4 linked regions of the Sus scrofa genome follow. The main gene of each other region encodes a partner of the protein of the gene in region 3 in a complex. Links are inferred from orthologs where the notes say so. Each region holds a gene or a part of one and is shown on either strand. Other genes may lie near its edges. The genes, in order: CHD5, MTA2, CDK2AP2 and MTA1.

The links.
Region 1: CDK2AP2 (region 3) and CHD5 share a complex: the UniProt entries of both Homo sapiens proteins name them as parts of the nucleosome remodeling and deacetylase (NuRD) repressor complex. The link is inferred for Sus scrofa from reciprocal best matches to the Homo sapiens genes CDK2AP2 and CHD5.
Region 2: CDK2AP2 (region 3) and MTA2 share a complex: the UniProt entries of both Homo sapiens proteins name them as parts of the nucleosome remodeling and deacetylase (NuRD) repressor complex. The link is inferred for Sus scrofa from reciprocal best matches to the Homo sapiens genes CDK2AP2 and MTA2.
Region 4: CDK2AP2 (region 3) and MTA1 share a complex: the UniProt entries of both Homo sapiens proteins name them as parts of the nucleosome remodeling and deacetylase (NuRD) repressor complex. The link is inferred for Sus scrofa from reciprocal best matches to the Homo sapiens genes CDK2AP2 and MTA1.

Annotation. Positions count from the first base shown.
Region 1 is NC_010448.4:67,083,787-67,088,415, forward strand, and holds the start of CHD5 (chromodomain-helicase-DNA-binding protein 5), read right to left. Parts: upstream 2,900-4,629; 5' UTR 2,778-2,899; coding exon 2,699-2,777; intron 1-2,698. UniProt on the Homo sapiens protein: ATP-dependent chromatin-remodeling factor that binds DNA through histones and regulates gene transcription. May specifically recognize and bind trimethylated 'Lys-27' (H3K27me3) and non-methylated 'Lys-4' of histone H3.
Region 2 is NC_010444.4:9,144,038-9,147,695, reverse strand, and holds the end of MTA2 (metastasis-associated protein MTA2), read right to left. Parts: intron 3,625-3,658; coding exon 3,396-3,624; intron 3,226-3,395; coding exon 3,136-3,225; intron 2,157-3,135; coding exon 2,038-2,156; intron 1,933-2,037; coding exon 1,790-1,932; intron 1,569-1,789; coding exon 1,403-1,568; 3' UTR 730-1,402; downstream 1-729. UniProt on the Homo sapiens protein: May function as a transcriptional coregulator. Acts as a component of the histone deacetylase NuRD complex which participates in the remodeling of chromatin.
Region 3 is NC_010444.4:5,023,701-5,028,151, reverse strand, and holds CDK2AP2 (cyclin-dependent kinase 2-associated protein 2), read right to left. Parts: upstream 2,897-4,451; 5' UTR 1,988-2,896; coding exon 1,906-1,987; exon of another isoform or gene 1,686-1,905; intron 1,599-1,685; coding exon 1,498-1,598; intron 1,400-1,497; coding exon 1,267-1,399; intron 909-1,266; coding exon 841-908; 3' UTR 386-840; downstream 1-385. UniProt on the Homo sapiens protein: Acts as a component of the histone deacetylase NuRD complex which participates in the remodeling of chromatin.
Region 4 is NW_018084979.1:3,459,509-3,463,853, reverse strand, and holds the start of MTA1 (metastasis-associated protein MTA1), read right to left. Parts: upstream 2,814-4,345; 5' UTR 2,734-2,813; coding exon 2,706-2,733; intron 1-2,705. UniProt on the Homo sapiens protein: Transcriptional coregulator which can act as both a transcriptional corepressor and coactivator. Acts as a component of the histone deacetylase NuRD complex which participates in the remodeling of chromatin.

The sequences.
Region 1 (4,629 bases), on a different chromosome or scaffold from region 3:
TCACACTGAGTGTGACAGCTCCCAGCACACTGGCTCCCCCACCCGCAAACTGCCACGTGTGGGGCCTGCCAGCTGGAGGTCCCTTCAGGCCACGGCCATGAGCTCAGGCGGAGGCTGCAGAGGGGCCACAGAGGAGGGCTGGGGGCCAGGTGGCCAGCCCTTGAGGAGAGACACGAGGTCCGGGCTGAGGCTGTCATCACGTCCAAAGGCCAGGGGGACCCAGGGACTCCCAGGCCTCAGACAATGGGGCCACAAACCTCTATCTAGCATCCACGGCCCCAGGCGGGGGCACACTGGGTGGTCAAAGGAGTCACATTCGAGGGGGGAGCCGACAGTCACAAGGCAGCTGATGATAATATTTCAGGGAGTAGGAAGTGCTGCCAAGAAAACAAAGCATTAAAATGGGCCTAAGAATGACGGGGGTGGGTGGGAGGGGGACGGACACTTGAGCCAGGAGCTGGGACCTCGATGGCAGGAAGGCAGCAGTCATGAGCCGAGGAAAGAGCCTGTCGAGGCCACGGCCAGTGCTCAGGGCAGGATGGAGCCTGGGAGCTTCCAGAAGCATCGAGGAAGCCAGGATGTGAGCAGGAGGTGGGGGCGGAGAAGAGGGTGGGCTCGAGCAGCGCTCTGCGATCCGTCCAAGCGTGGGGGTCTGGGTCTGGCTTGTGCGGACCAAGGTGACCCTGACTGCCGAGCGAAGCCTGGGCGGGGAGGACAGGATGGGAGACTCTGGTATGGACGAGCCGGAGGGGACAGTGGCTCAGACCAGGGGCAAGGCGGAGAGGAGCTGGGAGCTCGGAAGGCTCAGGACACACTCTGGTCTTGCTGAAGGACAGGCCTCGGTCTCTGCTCTGCAGGGCTCTGAGAGCGGTCCCAGAGGCCCTGGGGACAACCCTACCCCCAGGCCCTGCCCTGGAGCCATGGGTGCCAGCTGGAGGGAGACAAGGTGGAGGACAGGGCACCCTGACCAAGGCCCAACCCCTCTGGCCCAAAGAGAGTGAGTTGGGTGTCTGCCAGCCTTGGAACATCTGCCCTGGTCCCCTCCCCTCCAGATCCTCTGAGCCCTGGGGCACAACAAGGAGAGCCAGAGTGGGTGGGAAGGGAAACAGGGGATCCATCAGGGAGCTAGAGAAGTCTGGAAAATAAGCCATGTTCAGCTGGCCACTGCCCCCACTGGTGCCACAAAGGGCCACGCCCCAAGCACCACCAGGATGCCCGTGAACAGGCTTACGGAGGAGCTGGCTTGCTGGGCAGAAAACAGCCGTGGATTTTCTCCTGGGCCCTCTCTGTGTTTCCTTCCGGAAAATGGGCCTAATTCCCCGGACCCCAGGAAGCGACGGTCAACTATTGTCCAAGCGACCACGCAGCGTGGGCCCACCTCCTCCTCACTCCCCTCGCTCCAGGAGGCTCTTTGCAAACTTGGCCGAACTGTCCAAACGGGCTGGGTGAGGCCCCAGGCACAGCATGAAAGCCCGCAAACAAGTGGGGAGGGGGGTGGGGGAGGCCCTCCGGTGGGCGTGGCCACCTGGCGGGAATCCCTTGCGAGGCGGGCCCTCCCCCCTCACCTCCCGCACCCCGGAGCCCAGGGGCCAGTCTGTAGAATGGTCTCCCCTCGGGGGCAGGGGCTCCTGGGGCCAGACGGCACCTTCCGGGGCCAAGGCGGGCTCCCGTGCCTCCCGCAAGTCTCTCTGGAGCCCAGGAGGGGCCGCCGACGGGGTGCGGGAAGCTGAGACCGAACAGTCCCCGGGAAGAGGAGGAGGAAGGCTGGCCGACCGGGTGAGGCCCTGCCCAGCTGCGCCGGGAGGGAAAACGTCCCGAACAAATGGGGAGCAGTTAACTAAAGAATCGCCCTGCAAGGGCGACGCACGAGCCCTGTTTCTGCTGAATTCTGGAGAGGGATGGGCCAGGGCGGTGGCCCTAGGAGTCAGGCCCGGAGCCAAAGCCCGGTGGGCTGGGAACGCCACTACCCGGGCGACCGCGGGCTGGAGACGCTGGCCGGCGCTAGGGCGCGCCAGGACGACGCCGGCGGCCCCGGCAAAGTGCTTGGGAGCGGCACTCGCGGCACCCAGCGGCCGGGGAACAGGGAGCGGGAGTCCGAGCCCGCGCGCTCCAGCCCGGAGCCTTGGTGGGCCTGGAGGGCAGCCAGGGCGCTCGCGGCTCGCCCAGCACGCCCGGTCCTCCGCCCGCTCCGGGCCCCACCCAGCCCACCCTGCGGCTGAGACCCCGGGGCCGAGACCCTAGGGCTGAGAGAGGCCGGCTCCGGGTATCCGGTCCCTCCAGCCCCCGCCAGGCCCCGCGAGGTCAGGGGTGCGCAGCGCGAGCCGGGAGCGCCGGGTGCGCGGCACCCGCCGCCGAGCGCGATTCCCGCCCCCTTCAAGGGCACGCGGGCTGACCCCCGCGGCGCCGCGCCCCCTCCCCTCTCCGGGCGCCCGGCGAGGCCCCCAGCGGTCCTCTGCCCGCGCCGCGGCCCGGGTGGCCCCGATCGCACCCGCCCTTGGCGGCCCGCGTGCCGCGCCCCGGCGATAGCCCAGCCCCGCGCCCTTGGCTGCGCGGCGCCAGCAGGGCGGGAGCGCAGCCCGCAGCCCAGCGCCCCCTCCCGCGCGCCGCCAGCGCCGCCCGCGAGGTCCGGCCGCGGGGCCCCGGCGGACCCCGCGCCCCCCGCAGTCCCGGCCCCGGGCGCAGCCGGTGCCCGGCTCACCTGACATCTCGTCCTCGTTCTCCATCTCGTCCGCGAACAGCCGCGGCAGCTCCTCCTCGGTGCCCAGCGGGCCCCGCATGCCCGGCGCGGGGGGAGGGGAGGTGGGCGCCCCCCCTCCCGCCGGGCGCGGTGCCAGCCTTAACCCGTGCGCTGCCGGACGGGCGCGCGCGGCGGGCGAGGCGGCCTCAGCGAGAAGATGGCGGCCGCCTGCCCCCCCACCCCCCAAACCTCCACTCCCCCGTCTCGACCCCCTTCGTCTCGGCCGCCTTCACCCCGCTCCCCGCAAAGCCCGGGCTGCTCCGCCCACCGCGCCCGGCAGCCCGAGTCCCGCAGCCGGCCGAGGTGGCGGCGGCAGCGCCGGCTGCACGGAGGCACGGCGGGGGGGCGGCACACATGCCCGGATTGTGACGTCCAGTCTGGTTGCTGTGGCAACCCCATCCCATCGTTCCGGCAGCGCGACTAGTTAACAGCAGAGAACAAGTTGAGGGGACTAGTCCTGAGCCTCTGGGTGCGGGGTGGGGGCAGAGCCCTCCGGCAGGGGGAGCCGTCGAGGCGCCCGCGCGCCCGGGGACCCGACGGCCGAGCGGGCAGCGGGGACTCGGGCGGGCAGGCCGGGCCCAGTGGGAGGCGGGGAAACGCCAGCCCGCGCACCCCTAGCGGGACCCGATGCCGCCGCTGCCCCCGCCCGGAAAGGCGCTCGGCCCCGAGTCCCCTGGGGCGCGGAGGCCCGGTCCCCGAGGCAGCGGGCTGTCGTACTCCGCTCACACGCACCGAGACCCTCGGCTCCTGCAGCAGCTCCAGCCGCAAAACGCTTCTAACCCCCTTTCCAAAAAGGATTAGAAGAAAAATGCGTTCCGCACATGGTGAAGGGCCGTGCTGCAGACGGCGGGTCTGATTCCTCCCGAAAAAAAATCCATGCAGGCTGGCTCCTCCCTCCACCCATCGCACCCCGCTCCCACCGCCCACGTGCCCCCTTCCCAAACGCCCCTCCAGGCGGGGTCCGCTTTAAACCTATCCAGGCCCGACCCCCGCGGGCGGTGGGTGATGCGGCTCTGCGTTCGCGTGCCCAACACTCCCGCTCAGAAGCGACACCTGTCGCGGAGCGGGAAGGAGCCACGCCACCAGCCCTCGGTTGCTAAAGGTGAAGATGGAAGCCAAAGCCCTCGGGAGCAAGACTGGAATTCTAAATGAGCTCCGCCAGCCTTGGCTGCTGCCAGTCTTAAAGCTACTCTAAGAACGCAAAAGTTTCCGTGGTGGGGAGGATGGCTGGCTTTCTAACCCTGGAAGAGCCAGTAAGGGGAGGGCACCCTCACCTCACAGCCTGGGGCCAGGCTCACTTGGGGGGAGACCCACTGGAAACCTGGTTGTTGGTTACCAGGGACCCTGGCAGTATCCACCTGACGGGAAGCCCAGAGAAGCTGGGAGGAGGTCTCCTCTCTAGGACCCACCCCTCTGGTCTTGGCTGAGCACCTGCTCTGTCCAGGTGGGCATTCACTAGGACCCGTGACACTGGCATCCCCAGGAGGGCTCCTCTCCTCGGGCCTTTGAGGAGCCAGGAGAGTTGTGGGTGCTTGGTGAGGTGGTCACAACGCAATCTCCAGTGAGTCCAAGCTGTACCCTGCAGGTGACGATGGCTCGGGGAGAGCTGGAAAGATGTATAGAATCTTCACTCCCTCTTCCCATCCCAAACCAAACTCCTCTTCATTCATTCCTGGGCGAGGGCATGTCTGTCCCGCCTCCTAGATAAAGTACAGGGCGCCTGGAATGCCATCTCCTAGACCCCTTTATTTTTTATTTATTTACTTTTTAGGGCTGTATCCACAACATTTGGAGGTTCCCAGGCTAAGGATCTAATCGGAGCTACAGTTGCCAGCCTACACCACAGCCACCCCGCTGATCAGGGCCAGGGATCGAACCTGCAACCTCATGGT
Region 2 (3,658 bases), about 4.1 Mb from region 3:
AAAGAGGACCTAAGGTAAACATCTCCAGGTCTTTAGCCTTGAGCAAGTCACAAATGCTGAGGTTGTTTCTCATCTCTAAAGAAAGTGCTCAAGGAGCACACAATAGATTTAATTTGTTGTTCTCTCTCCTGAGGTGCTCCTCCTGTCGGGACTAGCTCAGGCGTCTCATCTGTCTCCCAAACCTAAAAAGGGAGGAAATGGCACTAGAGTGGACCCCAATATCAAAGCAGTTGCTGGCCTTGGAGATCTTGCAACAGCAGTCTGTGCGAATACACCAGCATTAGGTGGTATGACCCTACATCACCCCCCGAGGTGGACTACATCTTGCTCCAACCTCGCAACTCCCAGAATTCCCCAAGTAAAAGGGAGAGAGGAGTTTAAAAGTTGGGAAATAAAGAAGCACCTTCACACACTCACACTCCTATGGAAGCCACCAGTCATTCTGAGAACCAGCTCATCTCAACGGGTTTGAGTGAATCTCAGCCAAGATGATACTCTGGCTCCAGTACCACAGAGAGCTGGGGAGCAGTGTGGGTCCCACAGGAAAGCAAGATGGAACAGGCCACCTGTCCCAGGCTGTGTATCTCATAAAGCTCTACCCCAGGCAAGCCCCCATCTATACCTCCTCTATTGTCCTTTGTCCTTTATTTTCCCAAAGATACCACACACACACACACACACACACACACACACACACACACACACAGCAGAGAATAGCTGAGCCAGGAGGAGCTGAAGAAAACAGCTTTTTATTTGTTACTATAAGAACCAATTACAGAATCCGAGGTTAAAAAAACGGACAAAAGATCTTTATTTCTGAGAATTGGCGTACAAAAGGCAGAGGGGGCAAGGAGAGGGAAGGAAAGAGCGAGCATAGGCTGGGGTTGATACCAGCTTAGGGGCCTCAAACTCCGATTGGGAAAGTCCGGACACCGGACAGGAAGAGGAACCCCCAGTTAGAAAAAAGGAGAAAAAAAAGATAGACATGGCAGTAATGGCAGTGCACGCCCCCCTCCCCCAACCAGATACCACCTGATATCTGCTTACTCTTCCCCTCTCCCATCCCCTTTCACAAAGGGAGGCAAAATTTTTAAAAAATTAAAAAACCCTCCCCCCAAAAACTATCCAAGACAACTGTGGGCCCTACCCCCAAAACAGGCTAGGTTCCCACAATGGGCCAAGTTCCTGCAGTTTGCCCTCCATCACCAGGCATGGAGAAGCACCGGAAGGGGACAAGCCTCCAAGTAGTAACACCAGAGGGCGCCCATCCCCTCCAAGGACACACTCACTTGCTCCCTCCCTCCCGCACTCCTCATTCCCTTTGACACTAGAGGGAAGGGAGGCTAGGTGCCCGGTGCACCCACCCTCTAGCTTTCAGCCCTCCTCCCTGCCCCACAGATGCTCAGTCTTCCAGGACAATGGGCTCATTGGTGCTGGCAGGATGTGCGGATGGAGGAAGAGAGACTGGAGCCCGCACTGTAATCAGCGGTGGCTTCACCTTCAGAGGCAAGTTGGGCCGGCGGGCAGCTCGCCGCATCTCCAGGTGGGTCAGAGCCTTCCGCAGGGCTCTGGTCAGGAAGGAAAGGGGGACAAGGGAGAAGGCAAAGACCTTCAGGCTGAAACCCCACATTCCACACTGCAATCCCCCATCTCCAGCCCCTTCCTTCCTAGCACGGCCACCCTGCAGCCAGGGTCTCCCTGGAGTTGGTCTTGCTCAGATACTCCTATTTCCCACACCCACCAGGCTGGGTGGTCAACCTCTCAGCCCCTCCCATGCTGGGCTCCCCACCTGGTGTCTTTTGTGGCCACAAACACCACAGGATTGGGGGCGTCAGCTGGGTTTAGTTTCTGACGCTTGGTTGCTGGCTGTGAGCTTGAGCGAATCCCTGAAGCCAGAGGCCTTCCATTGGCAGAGAAGGGGACTCCTGCCATCTGGAAAAGGGTAGGGCAGCGTAATGAGAAGGGGGACTCTCAGACGCCCATCAGAAATAAACACCCATCTAACTCAACGTGACCCACTCCAGTCTGTCAACTCACAGTCTCATAGGCCCGTTTCACCATAATGCTCCCCAGCCCCCGATTCTGGGTCAGCTGGTTCCTATTGATTGGTGTCTTGGTACCCCGAGGTGTTTTTGGTTTCAGAGGTGCCTGGGCCACTGTCAGGGAAAAACAAATAGATAAATAAAGGAAACCTGAGAGAACTTTCACACTCCCTCTTTTCTATGCATCTTCCCTGGGCATTCCTAAAAGGAGTGATGGGGGAGGGGGCTGGCAAGCGATTACCAGCATTTCAAAAGTCAAACATGAGTGTGATCTTATCAATCAGTGCACAGTTTACTGAATAGCTTATGATAAAAACTTTTTTTTTTTTGGATGCACCCATGGCATTTAGAAATTCTCAATACAGGGAGTTCCCGTCGTGGCGCAGTGGTTAACGAATCCGACTAGGAACCATGAGGTTGCGGGTTCGGTCCCTGCCCTTGCTCAGTGGGTTAACGATCCAGCGTTGCCGTGGGCTGTGGTGTAGGTCGCAGACGCGGCTCGGATCCCGCGTTGCTGTGGCTCTGGTGTAGGCCGGTGGCTACAGCTCCGATTCAACCCCTAGCCTGGGAACCTCCATATGCCGTGGGAGTGGCCCAAGAAATAGCAACAACAACAACAACAACAAAAAAAAAAAAAAAAAAAAAAAAAAAGAAATTCTCAATACAGGTATCAAACCCAAGCCAAAGCAGTGACCAGAGCCACAGCAGTGACAATGCCAGTGACCCGCCAGGAAACTCCATGAAAAAAAAAAAAAAAAACACTTCAGGAGTTCTCATTGTGGCTCAGCAGTAAAGAGCCCGACTAACATCCATGAGGACATAGGTTCGATCCCTGGCCTTGCTCAGTAGGTTAAGGATCCGGCGTTGCCGTGAGCTGTGGTGTGGGTCGCAGACGCAGCTCGGATCCCGCGTTGCTGTGGCTGCGGCATCGGCCGGCAGCTATAGCTCTGATTAGACCCCTAGTCTGGGAACCTCCATATGCCGTAGGGGAAGAGATAGGTCTTGATAATAAAAGGACTGAAAGGCAGCCACCACCCTAAGAGCCTCCCCATCCTATACCACCTGTACCGCAGTCCAGTTCCCCATCCCTTACCCAAATCTTTCACAATAGTTGCCAGGGGAAGTCGCACCAGAGGGTGAATCTTCAGTGGAGTCTTGGCGGCCTTAGGAAGTCGAATGGAGCCTGGAGAACAAAGACAAAAGCTTTTGAAGGGACTTCACTATTCAGGCCTCTTCTGGGGCCAGGAACTGTGTCCAAGTTCCCAACAAATCCTTATGGGCCACTATTCCTACTGTCAGTAAATATCCAGAGGAACGCCCTCCGGCCAGAACAAACCCTGAAGCTGCCCTTACACTCTGCCTTGATGGCATTGGCATTGATAGGGGCATAGGGTCGTCGGGCAGCCCTCCTCGGCTGTAACAGGTCCCTGCACATGCGTCTGGCAAGACGGGTCAGCTTCGTGGTCTGGAGCAGGAATGTTTGCCTGTTCTTGGCCAGCAGCTTGGCCCGGTTGGCGCTAGTCGTATAGGGAGAGAGACTTTGGGCTTCAGGTCTGGACAAATGACCTCTCGAGTGTGGCTCCTGGAAGAAGGACATAGAAAAAGGAGAAAACACA
Region 3 (4,451 bases):
GTGAAAGGGCACTTCCATCCTGCCGGGCCTCACCATTACCAGCTAATTCAGAGGAAGAACCCTCTAGGCTCAGGCTGGAGGCAGTGCCCTCAGCTGTGGAGGCAGCCAAGGCCCTGCGCTGCCCCCTGGTGGCATGACTGTGAAGGAGGGCAGGGCTTTCAGCCACTGGAGCTCAACCCTCTCTACTACTTACAGGTGGAAGAGGCAGGGGGCAGCGGCAGACAAGGGCAGGGTCCCACCAAGGTCAATGGACAGTGGAGGCAAGGCAAAGCTGGGCTCAGTGGACCTCTCTCCCACCCAGTGCACCACCCCGAGTCTCCTCTTTGCCCTCCTTCCTGGCCCACCCAGACTTACTAGACGCAGCAGACTCATAAAGACTACAAGCTGAGAGAACAACTCCAAATTATCTTTTATTTATACAAAAAGGGCATATTTAGCAAAAGACACACCGAGAAAAGAGTTATGGCCTAGGAGACGAGGCAGGGAGGCGACAGGCCTTCTGAGGCTCTGCTGGGGGGAGAAGGGGTCTGGGAAAACGGTAAGTCCTGGGTAAGTGCTGAGCGGTGGGGCCACAGAAAGGAGAAAGCCCCAGCTGGATCAACACTGTTGGCAGGTCATGGGTGGGACTCCCAGGGACCTCACTGCTCCCTCTTTTGGGGGTTCCAGTTACTGCTGCCGACTGGAGTGAGAGCCGCCCACTGGTTCCTGGAGGGCACCCACCAAAGGACACAGGACAGGAAGCCCAGGATGGGAAGTGCAACTCGGGGTGAAGGCCAGGGAGAAGCAGGTGCTCTGCAGTGGCCAGGAAAGGTCCAGACGCCGAGGAGGAGTCGAGTCCTGTTACGTGCGGGCGTTCCGCTCTGTCTCTGCCAGGCACTCTCTGACTAGGGCCCGGGCATGGATGATGCCTGGGGTGAGGATGGGAAAGGAACAGATGAGGCCTCAGTGACCCTCCATAGCCCCACACCCCCCTCCAGAGGAAGACCCCCCTCCCTCCCTACTCCCCTTTCCTTTCAGTGAAAGGGACTATGACCTAATGGGGGCCTGGATGAGATCAGAGGTTCGGTTAATGCTCAAATTTGCCCCGGTGAAATACAAATTCTCTGGACCTTCCCTGGAAACGGACTCGGCTGCAATTCACTGCAAAATGCCTCTGTGGACAGTGATACTGGCCCTAGTCTACGCTTGGCTCAGGTGGCCTCCACCTGTCTTTCCTTCCCAGTGTTAAGTCTCCTGGGCAGGGGTGGTGGGCCTGGCCTCACTCACCTCTCTTCAGGCGCTCCATGGCACTCTTGCTGCCAGCATAGGTGGGTCGGATCTCTTTGCCCATCTCCTCTATGACCGACAGCAGGTCCGTGTAAGTGCTCTGGGAGCCCTGGGCGCCAGGTGGTTTCATTGCCTGTGTCAAAGGAGAACACGGCAGTGAGCTCAGGCCAAGAGGGGGGCTCCAGTCCTCCTCCACAGGCAATCCTATGGAAGATCCTAGGCTCCACTCACCTGCACATAGCCCATGGAGGGCGGTCCAAAGTCGTTAAACAGAGGTCTGAAAGGAGCAGCAGCTCCCGGCACCGAGCCCGACGGCGATGGGACACTTCCAGCTGCAACAGGCGCGAGTGAGAGGTCAGCGCGGGGTAGGGACGCCTCGTCCCGGCGCTCCAAGCCCCGGACCAGATTCGCCCGATTACCTCCAAAGGGATGCTTGGCTTCACGCTGCTAAACTTCAGGACAAACCCCTCCCCCTGTGCTTCACCAACAAGCCCTACGTGACCACGCCCACATCACAGGCCAGTAAACTGAGGCTCAGCGAGGGTAGCCGGCAGGCCCACTACTGCAGAACTCAGGCCGTCCTCTCTTCGAGACCTCCACCGCCCGGACAGGCGAGCAGGGGTGGAGCTGGATCCTCACCTGTAGGGACCGGGGTGCCGGGCCCAGGGGTGCTGGAGCCCGGGGTGCTGCTGGGGGCGGGGGCGATGGGTTTGTAGGACATCCCCAACTCCTGGGTGCGGCAGACGCCGGCCGGCCGCTCCTCCCGGGTTGGCTGCCTGGCCGCTTAGCTGCGCTCTGATTGGCAAGCCGGCAGCACGCCCCTGGTAAATAGAGCTCAGGCCGGAAGGGCGGGCGGGCACGAAGGCTCCTTCACTCCTGATTGGTGCGCGAAGACGTCACTCGGGCCTTGTCATTGGCCGAGGCCGGCCCCAACAGGCCGCAACCGCTTCTGATTGGTCTCCGCCTTCCGGACCTCGCACCTGTCTGCTCCGGATTGGGTAGTGGTCGATGCCCTCCGCAATTGGCGAGTTCGCGGCCCGGGCCGGCGCGCTCTCAATCCGATTAGTCCCAAAACGCGAGAGGCGGAGCCTCGGAAGCCGGACCTGGGTCCGGTCCGCCGCGGTTCGAGCCCGGCGGGGCTTCCCGGGCGCGGTTGTCGTCCTCACGCCTCACTCACGTTGCTTTGTACGTCACCTTTCCGCTGCCGTCCCGGTTCAGCTGGGGCTGCTGTCGTCGCCGCCGTCGCCGCCGCTGCCGCGCGCGCGCGCGCGCCTTTCCGCCGCTCCGAGTGCGGGAGGACGCAGGGCTTTGACGTTCCCAGCCCTGCGCCCCACCCCGTGCGCTTTTACGTCACCTTTCACCGGTTCAACAACCTGTCCCCGACCCGCGCATGCGCCCTCTTAGGGCCTCGTTTGTTCCCATGGCAACGGACCCCTCACCAATGCTGCTGACACGCCTCTTCCTCGCAATTGCCTGGACCTCGGGTCCTGCCCCTCTTCCAACTACCTGGACCTCAACCTGCCCTCCTCCCCCAAGGCCCCACGCCGGTGCCCCATAATGATAATAGCGGGAACAGCTAATCTTAAATACTTACGGCATCCCGGGTTCTGTACCACGGACGGTCCTGGATCAGGGACTACAGCAGCATCTGGGGTCAGACTGATGGGTCTAATCGCACCCTCAGCCCCCACCCCCACTTGCCCTTGGGCAAGTTACCTCCCTAGGCCTCAACTTCCTCATCTGTGAAATGGGGACGCTAGGAACAACCATCTCCTAGGATTGTTGTGTGGATTAAACGAATAGTCATAAAATGCTTATGTTTCATTCTCCTCTTCCCTATCCATTTCTCTATCCAGACCCCTCTCCTCAAATCTCATTCCTCACAACCTGAGATCTTAGACTCTCCTCCAAACCGTAACCCTTTTTTCCCAGGCTACTTCTCAAAACCTCTCTGGCTTTGTGTACCGGTCATGTCCAGGACATTCATTCATTCGTTCATTCAGCAAACATTTTGATTCCATCCCCCATCTTCGGCTTTATGCTGGACACTGATATGGAAGTGAACTGGCCATGGCTTCTGTCCTCCAGGAGCTCCTAGTCTCAAGGAGAGACAGACAGGGAAGCAAAAGCACACAATGGACTAAGGCAATGTGGAGACTGGGACAGGGAGCATTGGAACTTAGGGGAAGTGTGACATCACAGAAGTTTTCCCAGAGAGGCACCACTCAACAGGTGAATGGACAGATAAACTGAGCAGTCGCCATACAATCAACTATTATTCAGCAATAAAAGGAAATCATCTATCTATAGCCTTGAAAAGATATAGACACAGTGCTGAGAAGCCAGTCTGAAAAAGCCACATACTGTATGATCCCAAATGTACGGCATTCCGCAAAAGGCAAATTGATACAGAAGGTAAAAAAAATGACTGGTTGCCAAGGGTGCTGGGGTGAGGGGGTGCTGGGTAGAGGGGGGAGGGGTAAAATTGAACAGGGGGAGCAGAGGGGATGGGGGGGCATGAAGTGATTATGTATGATGCTGTAATGGTACATGCAAGACCTTGACAGTTACCAAAGAGTAAACTTTTTCATTTAGAAGGTCAGGCGATCCGAGGGTGGAAAGCAGAATATGACAAAAGAATCTAGCTGTATTGCAAATGTAGGAACAGCCTCACTGAAGGGGGTGGGGGAATCAGGTGCTAATCTGGAAATCAGTGGAGTCTGGAGGAACAAAGACAAAAAGATCTGCACGTAAGCACTGGACCCTGGTTGATGACGCGGTTTCCCATGGGGGATGGGTTGACAATTCTGAAACCACTGCACACGTACACTGGAATTCAAAATTAAATAAGTGTAGAACGAATGGCTTCTCACTGTTGGAATGAGGAGTTACAGGTAGCAAGGGAAGGAGGTTAGAATAGTCCATGGGCTAATGGATTGGAGTTGGAGCTCTCAATAGGAGCTCATGTTTAGCTTGACATAAATACAGTTGGTTACATACAGAAATATTTTTTTCTTTCTTTTTACGGCCACACTCACGGCATATAGAAGTTCCCGGACTAGGGGTGGAATCAGAGCTGCAGCTGCTGGCTTACATCACAGCCACAGCAACACCGGATCTGAGCCACACCTGCAACCTACACCACAGCTTGCGGCAATGCCGGATCCTTAAGCCATTGAGCAAGG
Region 4 (4,345 bases), on a different chromosome or scaffold from region 3:
CAGGCCGACCCAATCGGCCCAGGCGGTCAGCTGGCCCAAAGCTGCAGCCAGGCCTTCACCCCGCCCGACTCCTGGCAGGGCCTTGGGACAGCCTGCCAGGTGGGACACGCAGGACTCCCAAGTGACGCGGGACTCTGCGAGCAACTTCTCATGTAAGTGTGGCCCACACAGTATTCGGGACACACGTATGCTAAGAAACTGTTTATCTGAAATTCAAATTTAACAGGCGTCCTGTGCTTCTCCCTGCTGAAGCCGGCACCTTCGGCAAAGGCTCTGCTCTCCGGGTCTTTAGTGGAGGAGACCCCGGAGGCGGGCGGGGGCAGGCCCCCGGCCAGGGCAGGACGCCTCCATCTGGACCCTGAGACACCCAGACACGGACCCCCGCGCAGCAGCAGCACCTCGGGACAGCAGCCCAGCCGGCCCGCACCAGGCCGGCCGAGCCCACGGCCCAGTGGACAGGGGCAAACGAGGCTTCCCTGCAGGGACCGAAGGGGTCCAAGTGGAAGCAGCCCCACCCATGGGCTACACCACAGGACCCCTGTTTACACCAAGGGAGGGGGGTTGCCAAGAGGAGGGTGACAGAAGTCCAAGTCCAGGGGCACCCCGGCCCTTGGAACCAGTCGCGACAAGCAGGCACGGGGCGGGGGGCCTGGGAGGGAGAGGCAGAGGAGGCCACGGAGGGCCTCTGGGTGACACCCAAGCCTCCCTCTCCAGCCTCGGTGTCTGCGGCCGGCCGGGAGCTGGGCGCCCCTGCCCTGGGAACACTCCATTTACTGAACACGCTGAGCAAGACTTCAGGGCCACAGCCTGGGGTGGGAGGTGAGCCCACACCTGCAGAGAGGCTCTGCGTGGGGAAAGCCAAGGGGCACCGAGTGGGCGGGGGGACGGCCAGACCAGAGGAGGGCCTTGGGCTGGGCAGGAGGGGGTCTGCGCTGAGGAAAGGCGTTCCAGGAGGGCGAGGGGGTGGCACTGAAAGGGGGCAGCTGCGAGGCGGGCAGGAGCCCTGGGCTGCAGCAGCTGGGCTAGGGGCCAACGGACGGAGAAAGCGACTCCGTCCGTGGGGTTCCACGGGGGGCCACCCAGCCTGGCAGTGTATTGAGAGACCCCGGGGGCCTCCCTCCACAGATCGGCTCCCCCCCGGACTGGAGAAGTTGGGAAACCAACAGGCCCCTCTCTGAAGGCCCCCGCCCCCTAGCCTGCTCTCCCCCCGCCACCGCCGTGTCCACCAGGGGCCTGCTGCCGAATGGGGTAAGGGCCCCCATTTCCGTGACACCTCTGAGCCAGAGAGGAGGGAGGGCTGGACAGCGGGGCGGGTGCGCCCAAGGTCACAAGGTTGGCCTGGCACTCGGGGGTCAGCCGGCCAGCGAGAGAGGGTAGACTGAAGACACAGGTGACTTGGAAAGCCAGGCCAGAGCTGTCCTCAGCCCTGACCAAAGGGGGGCAAGTGGGCGGCTCAAAGTCTCCGAGAGGGTGGGCATCTCACCACCTGTGAAGGACCAGATGAGGCCAGCTCGGGACCCCGTGGGGACCCGTAGCACGAGCCTCCTAGAGCCCCCTCCCCACAAAGTGGGGCAAAGCCCAAAGCTGGAGGCTTCCTGGGGCTTGAGTGGGAGAAGCAACAGCCCCAGGAAGGAAGCCCCCACCCCGGATCTCAGCTAGCTCTGCACCCCCTAACCAGGGGGCCACCTGCCTCTTTCCCAAATGCAAAGCACCTCCCTGCTGGGCCGCAGAAACAGGAGACAGCAGAGAAAAGATCAGGGTGCCAGCAGCACGCTGGGGGGAGCACAGGCCGCTGAGGACCTGGAGAGGGAATCCTGCCGGGGAAGCCCCCAGGCCCACGCCGGCCCAGAGGGCAGCTCCCAGGTGACCGCAGGCTCGCGGCGGGAACGCGGCCGCCACATACAGCTCCCCACCCCCCGAGGGGACCACTGCCCCCCGCCCCCAGCAGCTGAACCAGCCCTCGGCGCCGCCGCGGGGGTGCTCTCCACACCACAAGGGCCCCAAACTCCCACTCCCAGGAGCCGCCAGCACCTCCCAATGCCACGTGCTCCTGCTCCCGAGTTGGGGGGATCCCGCCAGGCGCCCCAGCCCCAAAGGATGCTCTGCGACTCCCAGAGCTCCTCAGCCCCACGCTCAGCCCCCAACAGGTGGGCAGAGCCCCCGCCTGGCCGCTGCCGGCCCAGCCACTACCCCCCACCGGCTCCAGGAGGGGCCGGGCCAAGGGGCCAAGTCGGGTGGCGACGAGCACGGCCAGGGCAGAGGTGGTGGTGGAGGAGCCGGCTGCTCAGAAAAGATGGAGCGGGAAGGGGAAGGAGACAGGGGCGGGGGGGGGGGCGCAGCAGAGGAGTGGGCGCCGCGGGCAGGAGGGAGGGTGGCCCAGGCAGGCGGCCTGCAGTGGGGGAGGGGTGCAGAGGTGGAGGGAGGGGACCAGAAGTGGGCCGATGGGGGGGCGATGGGGAGGCGGGCGGAGGGGGAGGGGGGAAGCGGAACGGGGGGAGGGGCGGGACAAGATGGGGGACCCGGGCAGGGGGTGCCGAGGGGGCGCGCGCGGGGGGAAGGGGGCGGCGGACGGCGAGGCCCGGGGCGCCGACCGGGGCCTGAGGCGCGGCGGGGCGGCGCGATGGGGGGCCCGGCGGGGACGCGGGTGGCGGGGCCGGGGCCCGCGGCGCCTCGCGGCGGCGGCGGCGGGCGGGCGGCGGCCTTACCTCCGACCCTGTACATGTTGGCGGCCATGTCCGGCGGCGGCGGCGGAGGCCGCGGGCTGGGCCGGGCTGGGCGCTGGGCTCGGCGCGGGCGGCCTGGAAAATGGAGGCGCGCGGGCGCGGGGCGCGGGGGCGCGGGCGGGCGGGCGGTTTAAAGGGGCCGCGCTGCCGCCGCCGCCGCCGCCGCCGCCGCTGCCGCCGCCGCCGCCGCCGCCGCCGCCGCCGCCGCCGAGGCCGCCGAGGCCGCCGAGGCCGCGCAGGGACCGAGGGCCGCGGCGCGGGCGGGAGAGGAAGAGGAGGAGCGGCCGCGGGGAGGGAGGGGCCTCGGGCGCCACCGCCCACCGCGCGGGCCGTTACCCGCCCCGCGGCCGCGCGCTCCCCGCCGCCTCCCGCGCCCCCGCCCCGCCCCGCCCGCACCCCGGGCCCCGGGCCGCAGCGGCCCATCGGCCCTCCGCCCCGGGTCCGCCCTGGCCCCCCCCCGCCCCCCGCCCGGCCCTTTCCGCGCAGCCTCCCGCCCGAGGGCGCCCTCCGAGTCCGCGCGTTCGCAGGCGCTCGGCCGCCCGCCGCTCCGTGGGCGGCCCGGGCCCTCCGGCCCCGGCCCTCGGCGCCCCGCCCGCACGGCCCCCGGCACACAGTTGCGGGCCGCTTTCCCCCACCTCTCAGCTGGCACGGCCCCCCTGACGGTGCCCGAGGGAGGAGGGGTGGGCGTGCCCGGAGGAGGCCGCCCTCCGGAAGGCGCCCCCCGCCCCCGGGGGGGCCCCCCCCCGCAGGCACAGCCCAGACCAGGGGGTGCAGGGAGGCGCGGGGGCCGCGGGAGCGAGCGAGGCTCCCGCCTGTCCTCCCAGCCCCGCGTGTGAGCTGGGCGCCTGAGGTCCAGGACGGCCCGGACGCTGCCCGGGGAGGCGGGTGGGGAGGCTGCTGGGCGGAGGGGATGGAGCCCCGCACGGAGAGAAGCAAGGGGCCGGGTCCAGGATCAACCTGACTGCCAGGGGGCTGCAAAGGAGGAGCCAGCCCTGTGGGACCTGGAGGGGCTGGGGCTCCAGAGGCCCCAGGGCTGACCGCCTGCCAGGAAAGGCAGAGGAGCAGGGGCTAGGTGCTGCTGACATGTAGGCCGTCCCCCAAGTGTCGCGAGGTGCGATGGTCTCCCTCGCTCCCCGCAGGCCTGGTCCCTGCCTCCGGGGCCTGCATCTCCTCATCTGGACGGCGAAGCTGCAGCACTACCTAACAGGTGGACCAAAACTTAATCAGAACCCCCAATAAATACATGCCCAGGCAGCTGCTGGTCACAGAGAGTGCCCACAACGTCCTGCCTGTAAAGTGCCTGCTCCTGCCTCCCTTCTGGAAATAAGACAGCCCCTGGAGAGCAGAGGCAGCTGAAAGGTGGGGGCCGTTTTCCTCCCGGCGCGGGTGCTGGCAGGTGAGTGGCAGTCGGAAGCCATTGGAATTGCACGACTCCCCCAAGGAGGAGGAATCGCCCTCCCAAAGCACCGTGACTTCTAATAAACCCTTGGGAGAGGCCGCCAAGCCCGCGCCCGCTCCTCGGCTGGCTTTCGCCCTGTGTTCCTCTCCCAAGATGGACAGAAAGGAGACTGCACACAAGGCCCAGCCCCTAGACCAGCTCTGGGACAAGTCACTTGGCAAAA